Sus scrofa: one gene and its partners. The protein of the gene in region 3 interacts with the protein of the main gene of each other region in a biochemical or structural test. Links are inferred from orthologs where the notes say so. Each region holds a gene or a part of one and is shown on either strand. Other genes may lie near its edges.

Region 1 (7,040 bases), on a different chromosome or scaffold from region 3:
GGTTAAGGATCAGGCATTGCCAAGAGCTGTGGTGTAGGTTGAAGACTTGGTTCAGATCCTGCATTGCTGTGGCTGGGGCGAAGGCTGGCAGCTGTAGCTCTGATTCGACCCCTAGTCTGGGAACCTCCGTGTGCTGAGGGTGCGGCCATAAAAAGACAAAAGACAAAAAAAAAAAAAAAAAAAAAAAGACCAGAAGACCAAAAGGACATGTTTTTCTTGAGTACCAGAGGAGTTGGTGCCTGGAAGGGAATTAATCTTCAAAGTGGTGAGCCTTGTTAGATTTTAGGTACATTAGGCCCAAGCCAACATCTCCTCTATGGGCCCCTACCCCCTCCCATCAAAAGGCCCAGATCTCCCTTCCAACAGGGGTCAGCAAAAACAAAGCTGAGAGGAAATCTTTCAGCACTCCAAGAATGCAGGCAAAGGGAAAATCTGCAAGACTAAAGAACGGATTGGAGGGCTGGGTTTTCATTGTTCTGTGGAGAGGAGGTAGGTTTTGAGAAAGATGGGGGAGGGGCGCTGATAAGGCCTGAAGGAGAGGATCTCCACCGGAGGAAGGGGATCTTTTTGGAAAACTAGGGCAATCGGGTGAAATACCCTACAAAAACTTAAGCCATGAGGTTGTGCTCCTCTGCCGGTGCACGGGTGCAAGTTATTCAAACCAAGAGCAGAAACCTCAACATCCTTGTAACTCCCTGTGATTTTGGAGTTCTCCTCTGGGCCTCCGGTGAAGAGTTCCTGGGTCTGGGAATGGCTGCAGAAGGGGTGGATTTGGGAGTAAGGATAATCCCACTCCTTGGTCAGTGGATGGACAGTGGTCCTTACCTCTACTGTGGACGACAGGACATCGAAGGCACCAACTGGCAGACAAGACCCAAGCGGAAGCGACTGTAAGGCTGAATCCCCTTTCTTTCTCCACTTCAGAGGGTGACTAGAGACACTAAGAGGACACAAAGTGGTGGGGGTGGGGGGTTGTGCTCATGGAAGGGCTGGCATAGTTATTGTTTGTTGATGAGGTCCAGAGATATGGACTGAGGTCTGTAATTCCAAAGCCCTCCGACTTTTCTTGGCGGGTGACCGACATTCCAGTATTGGGTACTTGCTCCAATGAGGCAGAAAAAAAAATACGTTGTGATGTTGTACTAGACTTCTCTGTAACATGATGCCAATGTTTCTTAAATCTTAGTGGCCAGGACCTGGGAGAAAGTGCTATTCTAAAGCAACCTCGGAGTGTTCTGGTTTATGTTTCGAATGAAGGCCACTCCTTTGTTTTGGAGAATTCCTTCCTGATACTTAAGTGTTCTTGGTTTGACAAAAGCAAAGACCAGCTTTTATAGTAGAAGGGACTTTTGGGACACAGCTGAACTGCCCTGCTGGTAGCCTTCTTCATCATCTTCTTCTTCTTCTTCTTTTTTTGTCTCTTTAAGGCTGTACTCACGGCTTGTGGAGGTTCTTAGGCAAGGGGTCCAGTCGGGGCTGTAGCTGCCGGCCTAGGCCACAGCCACAGCAACACCAGATCCGAACTGCGTCTGTGACCTACACCACAGTTCGTGGCAACGCCGGATCCTTAACCCACTGAGCGGGGCCAGAGATTGAACTTGTGTCCTCATGGATACTAGTCACATTTGTTTCTGCTGAGCCATGATGGGAACTCCCTAGATGCTGTATTTGTAATAGCCACTTCTAAACTTTCTCAGCTTTGTAATTCTCCTGTTATTCCCAGACTATCTGTAATGGCCTGGTATTAGCTATATTTTAGGGAATTGAGGGAGGAGCCCATGCCCACATTTAGGATTTGCTTCTACCCTCCAGGAACTGCTCCTATCCCCAGCCCAGGCCAGAGTGGTGGGTAGCCACAGGTGGGTAGCTGGTGGTTCTGTGGCTCTAGGAGGTGGCTTGCTGCAGAAAAATATTTATTGAACAAGGATGAGACTGTACTAGGGAGTGTCTCTGTTGAAGTTCAAGCAAGTCTGGAAGTCCAACCTTAACTGAATCACAGATTAAAGATCAAGTATTTCCAGGGATGGATTCGTGGGCAAGAAAACCTTTGCATATTCCCAGGAGTGTTAGGTAGGGGACTGGATTTTCCAGTAATAAGAAGGGTGGTTATTTTTCTATTGTTGATCGTTACTGGGAACCTCTAGACAAGAGAGGGAGAGTAGTTAGCAGGACTTCTTGGCAGCTCAGGGGGTATTAGTAGGTACTACTAGTAGGCCACAGGGAGCCTTCCATTCTTAAGTGTCTGTGAAGACTTTTTTGAGTTCTGCCCTTCCCGTCCTTTTCCCATCCAGTTTTCCTTTCTTTGGCTCCTACTGCACTCTGTACCCACCTTTATCACAACAGCCTTTTTTTTTCTTTTTCGTTTTTTGGCCACGCCCAGGACTTAGGGAAGTTCTCTAGCAAGGGATCCAACCTGTGCCACTGCAGGGACTCTAGAAATTGCAATGATGACACCTGATTCTTAACCCTCTGTACCACAAGGGACCTCCCAATCATCTTTTTAAAAATTTAACTTAAGTGCAGTTTACTTACAACCAATTGTCTTGAGGTGTAATTTGTAATCATATCTCCCAGTAGACTGATCTCAAGGGCAAGAGACTGGTGTTGGTACACAGACCCTGGTTCAAATTCCATCCGTGGTACTAGCTAGTTTTGTGACCGTAGGCAATTACTTAATCGCTCTATCCCTCGATTTCCTTACTGATTAAAAGTGGGCACAAGGTTCTGCATCTCCTGAGGTTGCTGAGAGAAATGAAGTTGACTGCGTGTAAAAATACCAGGCATAAAGTATGTGCAAAGTAAAGGGATCCTAGCAGGGTGAACGTTTGTTAATTAGCCTGACTAACCTTTATTTTGTGCATTCAACAAACATTTAATGATCACCTGCAGTATTGCAGGCCCCTGGAGCGCTCACTCCAGGGTAGAGAACGCTCTTGTGCGGCCGGTGGGCTTGTCCCTCGGGCAGTCTCAGGATTGGCTCCGCCGAAGAGAATACCCCGCCCACATCCCTTGCGATCTCGTCAGCGATTGGACTGGAACCTTCCCGCAGGCATTCTGGTTGCTAGGCTCAGGAGGTGGGGACCTAGGTTGCGCGTGCGCAAACTGAGAATGAGGATGCTTTCCGGTCGGGCGGGAGGAGGTGACGTCAGGAGCGGTGGCTAGCGGGGGCCTCCTGTAGCTCAAGGGACGTTGTATCTGTGGGCCCTAGGACCGCGTCACAACTCGGCGACTGAGCCTTGGCGGTGGTGGCCGAGGCGGAGAAGGCGGCAGCGGCGGCGACAGCTCTGGGGTTTGCGTCTCGGGGTGTGTCGGCCGCCGCTGCTGCTTGGGCCTGGTATGTACAAATGGCTGGTTAGGATTCTCGGCACCATTTTCCGTTTTTGTGACCGGCCGGTGCCCTCTTCCCGGGCTCTCCTGAAGAGGCGGCGCTCGAACAGGTGAGAGGAGAGGGGGCCGAACGCCGGCCTGGCACTCCCCCTCCCCCACCCGGGGCTCGGCTAGCCTAGCGCTGACCCAACCAGGCAGGCCCCGCTTGGCAGAAACAGGTAGCTGGGCGGAGGTGGTCGAGGTGCGGATCGCGGGCGTCCTGGTGACGTAGTCGCTCCTCCCCGCTGTGTGGATGCGGCTCCTGATGATGGAAGGAGCCAGTAGTTGATGGTTAGGATCTTTCTCATCAGAGCCCAAGCTGGTTGCTGTTAACAAATAGAGCTTTGTCATATTTTGCTGCTCTTAGGTTGAATACTGAAAATTGAAGGAAAACTGTCTTTGTTGTGGCTCACTGTTTGCAAAGCACACCCCCAGGTGTCATCTGTGCGCAATAAGCGCAGTTAAGGGAGGTGAGAATCATAGCTTGCCCAAAGTCCTTTTGACCACACGTACTGTTCTCTTAGCAACAAGAGACAGCAGCTGTCTTGTTCTAAAACAGCTGTCAAACTGTGTGTGTGTGTGTGTTGTCGGGAGGAGGGAGAGTGATTCTGTGCTTTAGAATTAGTGTATGAGAAAAAAAAATAGATATCTGATTACTTTAAAAAGATCACTAGTCTGTACTCTAAAATTCTGTTAAAATTTTGGAGAAACTAAAAGTTGTTCTTTGCATTTACCTGTTGGTTTGTCCCATTTCATTGTGTCCACCCCCTTCCCTAAGAATTAATCGAGAGAATAAAATACCATACTAAGTCTGTACATACCCACACCCAACTTTTAGTGGTCAGGTATTAATTTAATTTTTTATTAAGCCTCAAGATTGAAGGTTGGTTTCTTGGAGCTTGAGACAAAGATGATTAATTAATACATGAATCTAAGAATGCTGCTCATGATGAAATTGGCTTTGGGCTAAATTCCATCCTATGTTCTAGAGAGGGCAAGATTTCATTGTGTTTTTTATAATTTTCTGTGGAGTTAATACAAGGATCATTTGAATACAAGTTGTGCCTAAAATGATGCTTAATGCATATAAGGGTAGTGTTTGTTTATTCTACTCCAAGGGCCTTGTGCAGAGGCCGGAGCATGACAGGCACTTGTATATATTTATTGAATAAGGGAATGTTAATTCCCTCTCCCTCGTCCTTTATTTTTAATGCAAATCTCTGCTGGTCAGGGAAACTGGCTTGTAGATCAAAATCCTGTTCTTTATTATACATCCTTAATTGATATAAACTCTTCATTGTAAGCCATTTTTCAGTCCAAATGAAGCCAAAAAGTCTTCGTGGGATGTTGAAAGTTATGAACCAAATGGTATTCTCCTGAGATTTATTCTGTTTTTTCTTTTGTAAATAGGATCATTCCTAATCATCTTTAGAAAGATGATTATAGGAGTTGCTGTCATGGCTCAGTGGAAATGAATCCGACTAGGAACCATGAGGTTGCAGGTTCGATCCCTGGCTTCGCTCAGTGGGTTAAGGATCTGGCATTGCCATGAACTGTGGCGTAGGCCGGCAGCTATAGCTCCAATTGGACCCCTAGTCTGGGAAGTTCTGTATGCCGTAAGTGCAGCCCTAAAAAGCCAAAAAAAAAAAAAAAAAAAAAAGAAATGAAAAGAAAGATGGTTAACTGTGAAGCTTTAACCTTGAGATATAGGTCCAAAAACTTTTCTGAATTTACAAATTTTTGAGATATAGGTCCAAAACTTTTCTGAATTTCCAAATTCTTTATCACTGTAATATAGTTTCCATGATAAAAACACAGTTAAATATAACACCCTTTTCTGGCTAAGAACTGTCTTTTTTTTTTGTCTTTTCTAGGGCTGCACTCACAGCATATGGAGGTTCCCAGGCTAGGGGTCTAATCGGAGCTGTAGCTGCCGGCCTACACCACAGCTCACAGCAACGCTGAATCCTTAACCCCCTGAGCAAGGCCAGGGATTGAACCCACAACCTCATGGTTCCCAGTTGAATTCGTTAATCACTGAGCCACGATGGGAACACCAGAACTGTCTTTTAAGTAGACAATTCTTAAATTGTCTACTTCTATCTGAAGTAAAAAATGATTTTCTTCTGGGGAAGCTGTCATCTTTCAGAAGGAAATTATTCTTAAATCATTTTTGGAGAGAAAGGGAATAACTGGTCCTAAGCTTTTACCTATATTCGTTTACTAGTAAAGATTTCTGGCCAGTTTCATGTTTGTAGTCTAGCCAGACTACACATGATTATATAATAGGGAATTTTAGATCTCCACATCCTCAAAAGCTGAAGACCTACTATAGCATAAACATCAGTTAGATCTCATTTTATGACAGAGTGAATGGAAGAGGGTGTGTTTGAATAGTAAGCTTACTTATAGAAATGGAAATGTGTGTATATGAACATATATGCATATATATTATGTCTCTCTTCTCTTTTTTCAGCAGTCTCTTTTCTACAGTGGACACTGATGAAGTACCAGCCAAAAGACCAAGATTAGGTATTAAATATTAATTAAAAAAATAGCTTTTTCAATAGGAAAAATATATGTATGGACAAAATTCAAAAGATAAAAAGTATATACAGTGAAAAGTAAGTCTTTTTCCTGTCCCTTTTCCATTGTTATCTTTTTTAGAGGTAAACAGTGTTACCAGAGACTTAAATATCTTTCTAGATAAATAAGTCTGTATGTTGAAATTGCATTTCAAAATTCCTAATCTTCCTATAAAGAAAAGGTGCTTTTTATTTATTTTTAAAATTTATTATTATTATTATTTTTGTCTTTTTGTCTTTTTAGGGCCACACCTGTGGCATATGAAGGTTCCCAGGCTAGGAATCTAATCAGAGCTGTTGCTGCTGGCTTACGCCGGAGCCACAGCAACACCAGATCCGAGCCGCGACTGCGACCTACACCACAGCTCATGGCAACACCAGATCCTTAACCTACTGAGCAAGGCCAGGGATCGAACCCGAAACTTCATGGTTCCTAGTCGGGGATTCGTTCCCGCTGCACCACGACAGGAACTCCTATTTCTTAATTTTTTACTTTTAAAATGAGAGTTGGAATATTTATTTCAGGTTCTCTCTCTCTCTTTTTAAGCATTTAAAAATTTTTTTGCCACACCGGCAGCACGTGGATGTTCCTGGGTCAGGGATCGAACCTGTGCCACACAGTAGTGACCAGAGCGTCAGCGGTGAAAACACAGGAGGCTTAACCCACTAGGCCATCAGAACTCCCAAAAGGTGCTTTTTATTTGAAGAGAAAACATTGTAAAAACTATTTCAAACTGGAGTCATCTAGTTCAGATAGCTAAGTGATCCAGTATAATGAGTTACCTCAGATTGTTTACTTCTCTGTATCTGAAGGTCTAGACATCACTGGTAGAAGAGAATAAAACTAGATTAAAGGGAAAAGGCACTATTAAATACTATAATAGTGTTTTCCTTCTTCTCAAAAATGAATGTGAATTTGAATCTATCTCCAGATGTAGTAAAGAGTGGATATGTCTGTGTTAAGATTTAATGTAAATTCAGGAGTGCTTATTGAGCCTATCTTACTGTTAAACAATGTGTTAGGTTCTACAGGAAATACAGAAATGAATACAACAGGTTCTTTATTTTTAAGGACATTACAACTGCAGG
Region 2 (7,189 bases), on a different chromosome or scaffold from region 3:
GCCACGCCAGATCCAAGGCGCGACTGCAACCTACACCACAGCTCACAGCAACACCAGATCCTTAACCCACTGAGCAAGGGCAGAGATCGGACCCGCAACCTCATGGTTCCTAGTTGGGTTGTTTCCACTGTGCCATGACAGGAACTCCAAAGCCAAATGACATTAACAGACTTTAACATCTTTGAAACGGTCCAGATTTGCTCAAATGTTTGAGAACCAGGTGGGGAGAACCCTTAAGTGCACAAGAGTCTACAAAGATCTTTTTAAACCCCAAATCAGTTTTTCTGTCTTCCTCTGCTCCATCTGTTCGTGCTTTCTGATTTCCAAGCATGTTCTCCATCTCCAAAGTCGTCATGTTTGTTGATTCAAACCATACAGAGCATATGATAGAGAGAAAACCTATTGGAGCACATTACTCAAAACTGTCTCCCAGGCTGCAGAAAAACAAAAGGTACCTCCTTGGGAATCCCCACCATAGGGACCCGTCATCCAGGCTCAGCACCTCCCCAGATTTCCAAAGCACCATGACAAATCTTGACTCTTACCACTAGGTGTCACACTAAACAATCAGGAATAAAGATCACCAGTTCCCCAAGGCCTGCAGCAACAGAAAGCTGTCACAGGAGGAGCAAAGACACATTCCTGAGATACTTTTGACTTCTGCATGATTATTTGTTCAATGATCATTTTTAAACCTGCAGCTAATAATCCTCTTCTAAGGTATTTGTAAGTGGGGGCACTTAGAGTTTGATATTTCTGTGTGTGGTGTGTGTGTGTGTGTGTGTGTATAGTTTATTTTTTTTTAACAGATGGGAGTATCCCCAGATATTCTATTTTATCCAACAATTGGAATAGTTTGCATTATCTTCCAAATCAGAGTGTATTCAGTCGCACTTTCACAAAGTGTTTTCAAAAATATTAATACCATGACCTCTTTGGCTAAATGATTAATATGCTGGGATAGAAATGAGATGAACTGCTCTGGGATGCCTAGGTAAATTTCTCTGCATTTCAGTTTCTTTTTAGGAAAGTCAGAACTGTTCCTTGCAAGATGAGTTCTGAGAACAGAATGTGTTGCAGAAAGTACTGGAGTCTTTCTAAAAATTTATCCTATGATATTTCCAAGAGACATGGTCACCCTTAAGCAAAGTTATACAAGTATTCATGGTCAATTAATACCATTTGGGGGGGGTCTTTTTTCTAGGGCTGCACCCATAGCATAAGGAGGTTCCCAGGAGGTGTGGCCGTCAGCTTATGCCACAGCCACAGAAACACCAGATCCAAGCGGCATCTGTGACCTATACCACAGCTCATAGCAACGCCAGATCCTTAGCCCCCTTGATTAAAGCCAGGGATCAAACCTGCCTCCTCAAGGATGCTAGTCAGACTCGTTTACTCTGAGCCACGACAGGAACTCCAAGTAATACCATTTTTAATCTGGAAAAAAATCTAAATATCATTAAATCCAACCTTGTTATTATAAAAGAAGGTACCCCATAGCAAAGGTAGCTAATTCATTCAACTAATGTGCAGCTCATTAAGGGTGGAGCTGGGAAGTGAGATCTCCTACTTAGCGTCACATGCCACCTTGCCTAATAATGATGTATTTGTCTATCAAATGCCTACAAAGACATACAGAGTCTCTCCCTGGACAGTTTTCATTTTATTATGTGATCGTTACTACCCCAAAGATTTCTTTCTTGATTTTATTTTGTCCCTCATATTCTGTCTGTCATCCCTACATTCAGATATCAGAGGTGGGGGTATTGGGGAGGGGGAGATGAGGAGAGGAAAAGGATTGGTTGGTGCATGGCCAGTCAAGTTGAAGATGATTGCAACAATCACGAGAAATCTCTGCAAAACTATAAAAGCTTCCTGGGGTGCCTTCTGAAAAAGTCTGATCCAAGTTGCTTTATTAGGGCCTGGACCATTTCTAGAAGTAGATGAATGCATTCCTTTCATTGGCTAGGAGGTGGGGATGGGGCAGAGAGCATACTTCTGTTTCTGCAGCTGAGACCTGGACATGGTGAACCTGGAGTAGCTACCCATATGGCATGGACAGGTCCAACTGCTGCCCCCTCCTTTGTCCCCCAAGAAGCCAGCAGGGGCAGGATGAAGGCCACCTTGGGGCTGCCCTGAGCCTCCTGCAGTATGCCTGGCAACTACTTTCTTAGCCATCTTTAAGGCCCAATCTTGGGTAAAATACTACTCAACCCATTCTTTAGCCACCTTCTCCAAATGCTTCTAGAAAGCGGCCCCCACAAGTAGGTTCTCTGCAGCAGCACAGTGCAAATGGAGGAACACGACCTCAGTAATTATTTTGTCACTGCAAAGTATCTACAACCTTTGCTATAAAAATTAACACCTTGCTTTCCCTGAAAAATAGCCCAGTCATATCCAGCATTTTCCAGCATCCAGGGCAGAGTGCTTGCTCCTCCCCCAGTCAACAGGACTGTTCATACCGAGGAAATGATTTGAGGGTTCTCTAAGCATTTACGCTGTTAATGCTAAAGCTTTCACGACTTCTACCTGAGGGGGGCTTGAGGGAGGGGGAGGTTTATGTCCCTGCACTGCCAGGAGCCTGGTCTTTGGTAGGAACGCAGAGGCAGCCGGCGACCTTCCACCCTCAGTGTGTCCTTCCCCAGGAGTTTAGGGAAGTGAATCCCTAGATCCAGCCAACATTTCCACTCCCATTTTCAAGAGATTAAAAAAAAAAAAAAAAAAAAAAAAGGAAAGCATCGGCAGGTCAGCAAACCAGCAGTTCTCCATCCTTGGGATCTTAGCAGCCGACGACCCCAAATCAAATCGATCGTGGGAAACCCCAGGGAAAATAAGGTTCCATGCAGAGGGCCAGGATTACTGACTGCAGGCTGCAGGGAAGTACCGGGGGAGGGGGCCGGGTCGGGAGGACTTTCCAGCCACTCAGCGTGCATTAAAAAGTTCCCTGTACATGACCCCAGTGGCTCATCGCAGGGAGTTTCTCTGATGAACCCGGGCGCGGGGTTTAGGCTTCTTTTTCCCCCAGCAGAGGACGAGGCCAGTTCTCTTTTCTGGTCTGACTGGCTTGGAAATTCCCCGAGCTTGACCCCGCCCAGGAGAAATCCCCTGCCAGCGTTTATAGGGCGCCGCGGCGGCGCTGCCGAGCCCACAACAGTCCGAGGCCATCGTCCCGCCCGCCCGAGCCACCGCGAGCAGCCAGCGCGCCGCGCAGCCTGTGGCCCGCGCACCTAGGGAGCAGCGCCCAAGCCCTCATCGCGCCATGTTCCAGCCCGCAGAGCCCGGCCAGGAGTGGGCCATGGAGGGGCCCCGGGACGCGCTCAAGAAGGAGCGGCTACTGGATGACCGCCACGACAGCGGCCTGGACTCCATGAAGGACGAGGAGTACGAGCAGATGGTGAAGGAGCTGCGCGAGATCCGCCTCGAGCCGCAGGAGGCGCCCCGCGGCGCCGAGCCCTGGAAGCAGCAGCTCACCGAGGACGGAGACTCGTAAGTGTCGCGGGCCCGGGTGGCGGGGCCGGGTGGGGGCGCTGGGCCTGCAGCCGGAGGTGCGGGGCCCGCGCTGCGGCCGCGAATCGGGGTTCGTGCACGGACCCCGAGGCTGTGCAAAGGTGCACGGTTGCGCGTGGGAGCCGGGGATCGGGGATTGGGGCCGTGGTCCCGCGGCTCTACCTTGCAGCCGTGCACACCTCCCACCCCTCACCCACCTTTGCGGGTCCCCTCGGCCGGGGGCGGGGCGGCCACGGGGACGCGAAGTCCCCGCTTGCATAAGGGGGGGCGGGAGTTTCTGCCCCGCTGGCGGGCGGGAGGGGAAGTACAGGGCGTTCCGGCCCGGCGGGAGGGCGGGGCGGTCTGGCCGGCGCCCGCCGCCTGGGGAGGGGGGGGGGGCGGAAAGTCCCTGGGTGCCTGCCAGGAACACTCAGCTCATAATAACCTCGCGGAAAACACCGCGGCCTCGGCCTCCAGAAACCCCGGGCTTGCGCAATCCCCTGCGGGCTGTGCCTCCCTGGGCCCCACGCAGTGCACTCACCAGCCCTGGGGGTTTTCCCTCTCTTCCCCTCAGGTTCCTGCACTTGGCCATCATCCATGAAGAGAAGGCACTGACCATGGAAGTGGTCCGCCAAGTGAAGGGAGATCTGGCTTTTCTTAACTTCCAGAACAACCTGCAGCAGGTGCGCTGCTTGCCCGCCCCGTGCCTCTTGGGTTCTGCCTCTCTGACCCCTTGATGGAGCTGGATCTAGCACAGTTATTTCCAATGATTTCCCAATTAACTGCCCCTAGTCATGATCCGCCCTGAGCTTTTACATCTGAATCAGCCAACATCCTAGAGAGGAAGGAAAAATCCCATTGATTTGGTGAGGCTTTTATGAAGCCCACCTGGGGTCTCCCGTCTGTTTCCTTAACCCCTTGTATCTGTCTGGGAGGAGCGGCACGCACAACCAGGATATCTCTAGGGTTCAAGGGGAACATGGATTGTGGGTTTGATCCATGGCTTATCCTTTCTGTCCCTCTTCTGTTGGTAGACTCCACTCCACTTGGCGGTGATCACCAACCAGCCAGAAATCGCTGAGGCACTTCTGGAAGCTGGCTGTGATCCTGAGCTCCGAGACTTTCGAGGAAATACCCCTCTACACCTTGCCTGTGAGCAGGGCTGCCTGGCCAGTGTGGGAGTCCTGACTCAGCCCCGCGGGACCCAGCACCTCCACTCCATTCTGCAGGCCACCAACTACAATGGTAAGTCTGGCTGCCCTATGCATCAGAGGGCACGTGACACAGACAAGGGAGAGGTGGGCCGACTTAAGGCAAGGTGTAAACTCTCAACACGTGAAAGGCTGAGAAAACATGTATGCATCAAGGTCTTAGTAAAACATGTATGCATTTGATGCCTTACTAAAGTCCATTCAGAACCCAGAGTCTGGGTTCTTCAAATTCAGAAGACCTCCTCCCTTAAAAGAATAGGTGAAAGTTCTGAGAAGTGAGGGTGGCAACAAGTGCTTATATTTTGTTACTTTTGGTACTCTAGGCCACACATGTCTGCACTTAGCCTCGATCCATGGCTACCTGGGCATTGTGGAGCTGTTGGTGTCTTTGGGTGCTGATGTCAACGCTCAGGTGGGTGCTTCAAGCCTACAGATGGAGGGCATTCAGCCCTCAATAAGATCACATGCTCTTGCTGCTAGCAGAAACCTCAGACTCAGCCATAAGCATCTCAAATTCCTTTTGGTTTCAGGAGCCCTGCAATGGCCGAACCGCCCTGCATCTTGCGGTGGACCTGCAGAATCCCGACCTGGTGTCGCTCTTGTTGAAGTGTGGGGCTGATGTCAACAGAGTCACCTACCAGGGCTACTCCCCGTACCAGCTCACCTGGGGCCGCCCAAGCACTCGGATACAGCAGCAGCTGGGCCAGCTGACCCTAGAAAACCTCCAGATGCTTCCAGAGAGCGAGGATGAGGAGAGCTATGACACGGAGTCAGAGTTCACAGAGGATGAGGTGAGTCCCAATGACCTTGTTCACGGGTCTGCAAAAAGCAATGCTCTCGGACCCCTAGAGCTCCTCCTTTTCCTGAGGGTCTCAACATAATGAGGATCTCAAATTAGGGAGCATAAGCAGTGTCCTAAGAGTAGGTTTAGGGGGAGGATTATGGTCTGGGGTTTTCTTTTGCTTTTTTGCTCTTTTTGAAGGAGAGGATCCTTAAAGGAAAACTTCAGCCCAGGAAGTTAATTCAGATTCGGGTTAGAGGGAACGGAGTCCAAGAATACTTGCGTTATTTCCAGTAGCAGCCCTTGCCATCACCCCAGCACCTTTGGCAAAGTTCTGGAAGTTTAACATGCCTTTCTTTCCCCTTTTAGCTGCCCTATGACGACTGCGTGCTTGGAGGCCAGCGCCTGACGTTATGAGCTTTGGAAAGTGTCTAAAAGACCATGGACTTGTACATTTGTACAAAATCAAGAGTTTTATTTTTCTAAAAAAAAAGAAAAAAAGAAAAAAAAAGAAAAAAGGGTATACTTATAACCACACCGCACACTGCCTGGCCTGAAACATTTTGCTCTGGTGGATTAGCCCCGATTTTGTTATTCTTGTGAACTTTGGAAAGGCGCCAAGGAGGATCATCGGAATGCAGAGAGAACCTCTTTTAAACGGCACCTTGGTGGGGCCTGGGGGAAAGGTTATCCCTAATTTGATGGGACTCTTTTATTTATTGCGCTTCTTGGTTGAACCACCATGGAGTCAGTGGTGGAGCCCAGGTGTATCTGGGAAATGTTAGAATCAGGTGTGTTGTTAAACCTGTCAGTGGGGTGGGGTTAAAAGTCACGACCTGTCAAGGTTTGTGTTACCCTGCTGTAAATACTGTACATAATGTATTTTGTTGGTAATTATTTTGGTACTTCTAAGATGTATATTTATTAAATGGATTTTTACAAACAGAATTCTGATCACTGTCTTCTTCGGGCAGCTGTGGGACTCCTACACTGAGAGTCATTCGAACCCCAAGTGGAGGTGGAGGTGGAGAATTGTGTGGGAGCATTTACCACAGCCAACCACGGAACTCTTTCAGAGAACAGCTTCTCACACCGTCTACACCAGCCTCCCGGCCAGGCTTTGCAGGCAGCCCCAGGCCCAGTGCGTGGGAGGGGAGGCTGTTGCAAGGTGATAGGAAACACCAGTTTCAGGCTTGGGGTGGCAGCAAGTTGGTTGGCCTACAGCTGGAAGGCTCTTCATTGTCGCTTGCTTTCATCTTCCTGGTTTAAATTCAGCCAGGACCTTACTTCTGCTTTAGGAAGCTTTAGCCAAGAGGAGTTAGTTGTACTCATATTTTGATACTAGAAGTTCCTGAGGACATGGGCTGGGGAACAGGACCCCCCACTAATGTGTTAGCAGGTGCCCACCTCTGCACCTTTGTTTCCCTGATGATAAAACTCGGCCATTGGTAAATTGTACAAGACAATCCACGTAACAAGCACAGCAGAGTGCCAGGCACAGAGTGCTAAAGAAAAATGCAAACTGTTGCACAACATCCTGTATTTCACACGGGAAGGAACAAGACCAGAAAGAATGTCCTGGTCAGGATCACCTTGCAGGACAGGCAGGTGGTTAGCTTAGCGAATACACGCTTGCCTTCAGGTGGCTAACATTTTTGAAATGCCATCCACCTGCAAAGCAGCCTGTTTTGTTCCTAGTGGCAGTACCAAA
Region 3 (7,079 bases):
AGGGATCGAACCCGCAACCTCATGGTTCCTAGTCGGATTCGTTAACCACTGCGCCACTCCTGCTCAATATTATTAACATGGTAGGGTAGGAATGTACTAGATTGTGTTTATTCATCAGTCGATGGACATGTAGGTCATTTCCACCCTTTGGCCGCTAAGAGCAGTCTCACGTGGACCTGTGTTTTCATTTTTCTCAGGTACATACCGAGCAGGTCCCCCATTACCTTGAACCAAATTCCAGGCACCTTATAATTTCGCTGTAAATGTTTCAGGATGCATCTCTAAGAATGGACTTTGAAAGAAACAACCACAGTACCAAGTATCACACCTAAAATAAGTTAACATTAATTGCTTAGTGTCCTCAAATAGATTCTAAGATACCTTTTGACGGGATTTCCCAATGGATTAGACGTGAGCCCTGAGGGCCAGAGAGGACTCAAGAAGGACTCCCAGGTTGTGTCCTGCTGACCGGAGGGTGGACGTGCTGTCACCTAATAATAAGGGAGGCTGTGGGTGGAGCCGGCTTCTGGGGACTGTGAGCAGTGCAGTTCTGGAGAGGTGAGTTTTGAGAGGAGGATTAGATGTCCAGCCTGAGATGCTGAGTTTGATGCATGGGGGTTAAAGCTGGGAGTCTGGATGGAATTAGCGCTGGAGTAGCTGTAGTTAGAGAAAAGATGAGATCCCAGAAAGGAGCCCCGGAGCATCACAGCATGAAAAGTGTGGCGAGGATGGTCCACGGAAAGAGCCAGAGCAGGAGCAGCCAGTGAAGTGGTGGCTGTTCTGGACTCAGGGCTCAGCGGTTGGTCAGATAGTGCTGGTGGGTCAGGGGGTTATTCAGAGAAGTATCAGTGTAACAGCGAAACGTCCCAGCTTGTTTGGTGTTAAACGTCTCTAGCTGCAGCTCAGGCTCTCTCCTGGAAGCTTCTTTTGGGATCGGCTTCCTCCTCCATGTAGTCGGTTTTCTTGGGCAGGATTTAAAAGGGCTCCGGGCGGGTGCTGTCCCGCAGAGCGCCCCCCTGCCCCCGCCTCTAGTTCACAGGACGATGCACACAGCTCAGCCTGACTCTCGGCCCTGCCACCTTAGGCTGCAAGCCCAGCTCCCGCTTTCGGGTGCTCAGCTCCAGGGAATGCCCACCAGGTTCTGAGTGGTCTCTGTGAAGCCCTTCTCACTAGGTACATTGATTTCCTAGGCTGCCGTGAGAGAGTCCAAGGCAGATGGCTTAAGACAACAGCATTTGTCCTCTCTCCGTTCTGGAAACCAGGAGCCTGAAGTCAGGGCGTGGCAGGGCCCTGTTCCCTCTGGGGGCGCCAGGGGAGGGTCCTTCCTGCCTCTTCCAGCCTGTGGTGGCTCCAGGCATCTCTGGGCTGGGGCCGCATCACTCCAGTCTCTGCATCTTCACGTGGCTTCTTCTGTGTCTGTCTCTCCTTTTGTGTCTCTTAGAAGGACACTCATCATTGGATTTAGGGCTCCCCTGATCCAGGAGGACCTCATTTCAGATCCTTCACTTGTATTACATCCTTTTCCTTCTTTCCTTTTCCCTTTCCCTTTTTTTTTTTTTTTTTTTTTTTTTTTTTTTGCTTTTTAGGGCTACACTTGAGGTATATGGAAGTTCCCAGGCTAGGGGTCTCATTGGAGCTGCAGCTGCCAGCCCACATGAGTGAGAGCCACAGTGACACGGGATCTGAGCTGCGTCTGTGACCTATACCACAGCTCACGGCAATACTGATCCTTAACCCGCTGTGTGAGGCCAGGGATCGAACCTGCATCCTTATGGATACTAGTTGGGTTCTTAACCAGCTGAGCCACAATGGGAACTCCAACAAATCCCCTTTCCCAATCAGTCCCGGTTCCGGGGCCCAGGGAGTGGACCCATCTTACTGCTTGGAGGTGTGGGGAGGGTGGGCATTCCAGCACAGCGACCCCTGCCTCCCAACCTCATCTCCGTCGATTCTCCTCTGTGGTGAAATCGGCAGCTTCAGCGTCCAGCCGGGAGCTAGCCTGAGGCGCCGTTTACGGCCGGTGCTGAACCGTGACCTTTGCGAGCCCCACATGAGGGGAATGTGAGCCACTCGTAGACCAAAGAGCCCTTTTTAGCGCCTTTTCCACTTGGCAAAGTGCTTGTCCTTCTGCCGAGCGTGGCCCTGGCACTCCCTGTCCTGCAGGGTAGGAGAGTTCTGCCTGGGTCTCCTCACGCGATGCCTCTGCTGGCATCTCTTTCAGACGCTGACTTGTTGGATGAGCAGGACCCCCTGGAAGAGTCAGCCGTGTGAGATGGTGCAGCCTAGCGGCGGCCCGGCAGGGGACCAGGACGTGCTGGGTGAAGAGTCCTCTCTGGGGAAGCCAACCATGCTCCACCTGCCTTCGGAGCAGGGTGCTCCTGAGACCTTCCAGCGCTGCCTGGAGGAGAATCAAGAGCTCCGAGGTGAGGGCGGCAGCGGGCCTGTGCCCCGAGATCCCGGGCCGGCGCCTCCCACCTGCCGCACCTCTGCCTTCCTGGGACTGGGGCGGCGTGCACCCGGGCGGGTTAGTGATTTGGTCCCAGCCGCCGCCCCCGCCCTGGTCCAGGTGGGGTTTCCGGGAAGTGGACGCCGAGATCCAGGGAGGCACGCAGGAGGTTTATTCAGAGTCCTCTGGGACCAGCCCTGCAGATGGGGAGGGGAGGGCAGGGCAGCGAAGAAGCAGGGGTGGGTGCAGGGAGAGGCCCACCCTGCAAGGGGCTTGAGCTGGAATATGGCCCTTCTGCGTTGTCCCGGTTGGGCCGACGCCGCCAGGCCCTGGTGTCTCCGTACTCATGTACTGACCAGTCAGTCAGAACCAGCCTTACTGGGAGGGGCGCGGGTCTCCTGGGAAGGGGGCGGGATCTGCTCCAGGAAGGGGGTGTGGTCTGCGCTGGGAACGGGCGTGGCCTCCCTGGGAAGGGCCGGGGGGCGGCTTTGGGAAGGAGGGGCCAGGCGGCGCCGGGGACCTGACGGAGGGCTGTGCTCCAGCAGCACTTGCCGGGGGCGGGGGGTCGAGGGCTTTTCGGCACCCCCCACCCCCCCGCCTCCGTCCCAGCCCCACTCACCCAGCCTCCGCGTCCTCCCCTGTATCGGGGTCACCTTCTCGGGTCCCAGGGGCCATGGCTCCGTGCCCCTCAGGTGTGACCCGTTCTTGGCCCCCTCGTGTGGGACAGCGCCCCCTCCTCCTCGGGTTTGTGCCCTGGGCCTCCGCTGCTGGCAAGCTGCCCCTTTGGTGCAGTAGCCTGGGGCATCCGGGGGGGGCACCCCTAGCCTCTCATTCAGTGACACTCTTGTGGGTGGGAGGTTTCTTTTGGGGGTGATGGGAATGCACTGGAACTAGAGGGAGGGGCGGGTGCACAACTATATGAATACATTAAAGCCACTGAATGACTGTGTATTTTTTTTGTCTTTTTTTAGGGCCTCATTGGGGGCATATGGAGGTTCCCAGGCTAGGGGTCAAATTGGAGCTGCAGCTGCCAGCCTACGTCACAGCCACAGCAATGCGGGATCTGAGCCTCATCTGTGACCTACACCACAGCTCATGGGCAACGCCGGATCCTTAACCCACTGACCAATGCCAGGGATCAAACCTGCGTCCTCATGGATGCTAGTCAGATTCTTTTCCGCTGAGCCACAACGGAAACTCCTGATTGTGTATTTTAAAATAGTTAAAATGGTGAATTTGCTGTTACGTGAATTTTACCTCAATTAAAAACAAAAGTTGTGGGTTTTCTTGTGGTGCAGCAGGTTAAGGATCCAGTGTTGCCACTGCAGTGGCTCAGGTCGCTGCTGTGGTGCAGGTTTGCTTCCTGGCCCAGGGACTTCACATGCCGTGAGTGCGGCCCAAAAAAAGATCTTTAAAAAAACCCCCAAAACAGAGGTTTTGTGGGAGCTGAGGTGAACCTCGGACGGAGGCTTGGCAGGTGGCCGTTGGGGGGGACCATCTGCCTTCGGCAAGAGGCCTTGTCCAAGGCTTGTTGGTCAGCTGCACAGGAGGAGTCATGTGGGGACCGTGGAGTCCAGAAGGTGGCTTTGGAGTGGGGCTCAGAATTTGCCGTAGGAGTTCCCTGGTGGCTCGGTGGGTTAAGGATCTGGTGTTGTCACTGCTGTGGCTCTGGTCGCTGCTGTGGCACGGGTTCAACCCCTGGCCTGGGAACTTCCACATGCTGCAAGTGCAGCCAAGAAAAGGAGGGGAGAGAAAATAACTTGCTGAAGTTCTAGTGAAAGAATGTTCCAGTAGCAGGCACCAGTTAGCTGGTCACGTGTTTTGACCAGAGGGTGACATGAAGCCACTGCCTGCCCCGTGTCATCTGGCTCTGTGCTTGCTAGAACCTCTGCGTGCCGCTGATGAGTTTTGTCGCTCACGATGGCCTTCTGCCGCCTGGGGTGTCCGCTGGGTGTGTGGGGAGAGGACGACCGACTGGTCCCCGAGTTGGTCTTGTGTGCCGGCTCTTGGCTGCTTGTTTGTGTGACCTTCCTTGTCCCGTGAGATGGGTGTCATCGTCCCCGTTGGGACATGTCGATGAGGATGGTGGGGCTTCGGTGACCGGCCGGCTGGCTCCAAGGCTTCCGGCCCCCAGTCTGCGGCAGCAGGGCCACAGGGACGTTTGCCCTGTGTGGCCGGCCCCCTGATCCTGGAGGCAGTGACCGGGTGCCCTAGGGTAGGCCTGCCTCCCACCCGAGCAGAACATAGACGAGTTCCAGCGTCACTTACAAAAAAGGTGGCATCGGACCCAGAGCTCTCAGTGCACCTGATGTGTTTAATGTTTGATTGGAAAAGCATGGGCACGTGATGGGCACCACTGCTTTTGAAAGTGCGCTGCCTGGGAGAGGCCGGCGCCCTCACCTCCCTCTGCGTCTCCTCTGCCGCCAGATGCCATCCGGCAGAGCAACCAGATGCTGCGGGAGCGCTGTGAGGAGCTGCAGCGTTTCCAGGGCAGCCAGCGGGAGGAGAAGGAGTTTCTCATGCAGAAGTTCTGCGAGGCCAGGCGCCTGGTCGAGAGGCTGAGCCTCGAGAAGCTGGAGCTGCGCAGGCAGAGGGAGCAGGCCCTGCAGGAGGTGGAGCTCCTGAAGACCTGCCAGCAGGTAGCGGGGCGCCGGCCGCCTGCCCTCTCCCCCGGGGGTCCCCAGGAGCACCCTCGGGCGGCCGCACAGAGTCGAGAGAAGCCGTTATCCTCGGGGCTCTGACCAGGGCGGGCGGGGGTGGTGGCAGTGGGCGCCTTAGCCAGCAGGGCCTGCGGACGGGCGTCAGGGCGATCGGCAGGCCGTTGGCTGGCTCAGTGGGGGTTCAGGGTTTGGAAGCCGTTGGCCTGTCCAGGGCAGTGGAAACCTTGAGACCGACCCGATCATCCTCAGGTGCACGCAGATGGGCGTGAAAAGGAGGGGGATGAGTGGCGGGCGGGGTGGGTGGCGCTGCGTGTAGGGGTGGGGGCCTGAGGCTTGACCCTGGGCCTGAGCAGCCTGAGGTCTCGGGCCCAGGGTTTGCACAGCCTTGGGAGGGCGTCTGGGCGGTGGGGAGTTGGAGAACTCTTGAGTTTTGGGGCAGGTGCAGGACTTGTGGGAACAGCGTCACTCCCTCTTACCTGCTAGTGGCCTGGGGCCCGGGGAGCGCGCAGGTTTCTGTCACATGTTTGAGTCTCAGCAAGGTGGGGAGACTCCTGCTGGGCTCAGCCCGCATGGGCAGCTCTGTGCTCCTCTGGCCCCATCCTCAGTGGCCTTGCTGGGGGAGAAGCTTCGAGAGATGAGAGGGAGATGAGTCGGGGTGCCGGGGGCAGGAGAGGAGCCCCGGGGGTGGCCGGTCTCAGTGCTGACGTGGCGTGGCTTCTTCTCGTGCAGCAGATGGCAGAGGACAAGGCCTCAGTGAAAGCCCAGGTGACGTCCTTGCTGGGGGAGCTGCAGGAGAGCCAGAGTCGCTTGGAGGCCGCCACCAAGGAGCGGCAGGCTCTGGAGAGCAGGTGAGCGTGGAGGGAGAGCCCTGCCCGAGGCCGCTGACTTTTTGCCAGAGTTTTGGATGATTCCCGAGGGGCCGTTTGCGGGGTGGGGGGGACGAGTCCACGTGATCACAGTGCCCTCCCGGCCCAGGACCCCCGAGGACGGAAGGCCCAGGGCGGGGGCGGAGCACCCCCTGCCTCTGGCCCCCTCCTCCTTTCCTCCCTTCTCTGGCGGCGACTTGGGCCTCCCTGGAGGCCTGGGGCGCCACTGGAGACTCAGCGCCCTGAGTTTGATGGAGGGCTGGTCATGGCCCAGCACACGCCAAGCCTCCTGACTCCTGGAGGAAAGCAGGTGCTCCCCATAGGCCACCGTGTTGTGCCCACGGTCTAGGCATGGGGACCTCCCTCATCTGGAGGGCGAGTGTCCTGGCAGCGTAGGGGACTCACACCAGCCCTGCTGGCCCCTCTCTTCTGCAGAGGCTGCTTCCTGTAGCTGTGCTCACCGGGTCAAAGGGCACGGGCGTCTCTGTGGTTCTCACGCTGCCCGGTGGCTGCCGTCCAGGGAGACGGGTCCAGGCGGCAGGGCTGGCCGCAGCTCTCCCGGTGCGCTGGGCGCTGCGCCCGGAGGCCCGAGGCGTTTCCCAGCGCGGCGTTTAGACGCCCCGCCATCCTCAGAGCGAGCGGGGAGCCTCCCTCTAGAAAGCAGGCGGCGAGGGCGTGTGTGTGGCAGGGCCGAGCCCGCTGGCCTGGTCGCCTTCCCGGTTCCCCGCCGGGCTCGTCTCTACCCCCACTTCTCTAAGAGGCACGTGTGTCATTTCTAGGACACTGCCACGTGTTTCTTGCCTTTTTTCTGTGCACATAAAAGAGACTGCTGGAGGCGTGACGCTGTCTGCAGTTTTGTGGCTGACTCTGCTCAGTTAATGACCCCGCAGTTGCAGGCTCTGGGCATCTTCCTCTCTTGTCCCCCCACGTGGCTGAGATGGAAATGCTGGCTGGCAGCTCAGGGCAGGGAGCCTGCTTGCGTCTCCCATCGCTCGGTGTGGCCATTTAAACAGATCCAGACTTCGTACATGTGGCGGCCCTTTGAGCGCCAGGCCTGTCACATCAGAACGGCTGTCCTCCTTGTTCTCGGGCCCCTGGCAGACAGCA

What was found. The genes of interacting proteins can lie anywhere in the genome.
Region 1: the proteins of IKBKG (region 3) and SENP2 form a complex in vitro, tested with the Homo sapiens proteins (2 studies listed by BioGRID and IntAct, with this or other methods). The link is inferred for Sus scrofa from reciprocal best matches to the Homo sapiens genes IKBKG and SENP2.
Region 2: of the proteins of IKBKG (region 3) and NFKBIA, one has a biochemical effect on the other in vitro, tested with the Homo sapiens proteins (15 studies listed by BioGRID and IntAct). The link is inferred for Sus scrofa from reciprocal best matches to the Homo sapiens genes IKBKG and NFKBIA.

What each region holds. Positions count from the first base shown.
Region 1 is NC_010455.5:123,426,805-123,433,844, forward strand, and holds the start of SENP2 (sentrin-specific protease 2), read left to right. Parts: upstream 1-3,110; 5' UTR 3,111-3,336; coding exon 3,337-3,437; intron 3,438-3,733; exon of another isoform or gene 3,734-3,836; intron 3,837-5,842; coding exon 5,843-5,898; exon of another isoform or gene 5,899-5,990; intron 5,991-7,040. UniProt on the Homo sapiens protein: Protease that catalyzes two essential functions in the SUMO pathway.
Region 2 is NC_010449.5:64,504,860-64,512,048, forward strand, and holds NFKBIA (NF-kappa-B inhibitor alpha), read left to right. Parts: upstream 1-3,259; coding exon 3,260-3,486; intron 3,487-3,704; exon of another isoform or gene 3,705-4,054; intron 4,055-4,060; coding exon 4,061-4,169; intron 4,170-4,520; coding exon 4,521-4,731; intron 4,732-5,020; coding exon 5,021-5,109; intron 5,110-5,227; coding exon 5,228-5,488; intron 5,489-5,847; coding exon 5,848-5,895; downstream 5,896-7,189. UniProt on the Homo sapiens protein: Inhibits the activity of dimeric NF-kappa-B/REL complexes by trapping REL (RELA/p65 and NFKB1/p50) dimers in the cytoplasm by masking their nuclear localization signals.
Region 3 is NC_010461.5:125,042,644-125,049,722, forward strand, and holds the start of IKBKG (NF-kappa-B essential modulator), read left to right. Parts: upstream 1-2,236; coding exon 2,237-2,423; intron 2,424-4,873; coding exon 4,874-5,085; intron 5,086-5,835; coding exon 5,836-5,954; intron 5,955-7,079. UniProt on the Homo sapiens protein: Regulatory subunit of the IKK core complex which phosphorylates inhibitors of NF-kappa-B thus leading to the dissociation of the inhibitor/NF-kappa-B complex and ultimately the degradation of the inhibitor.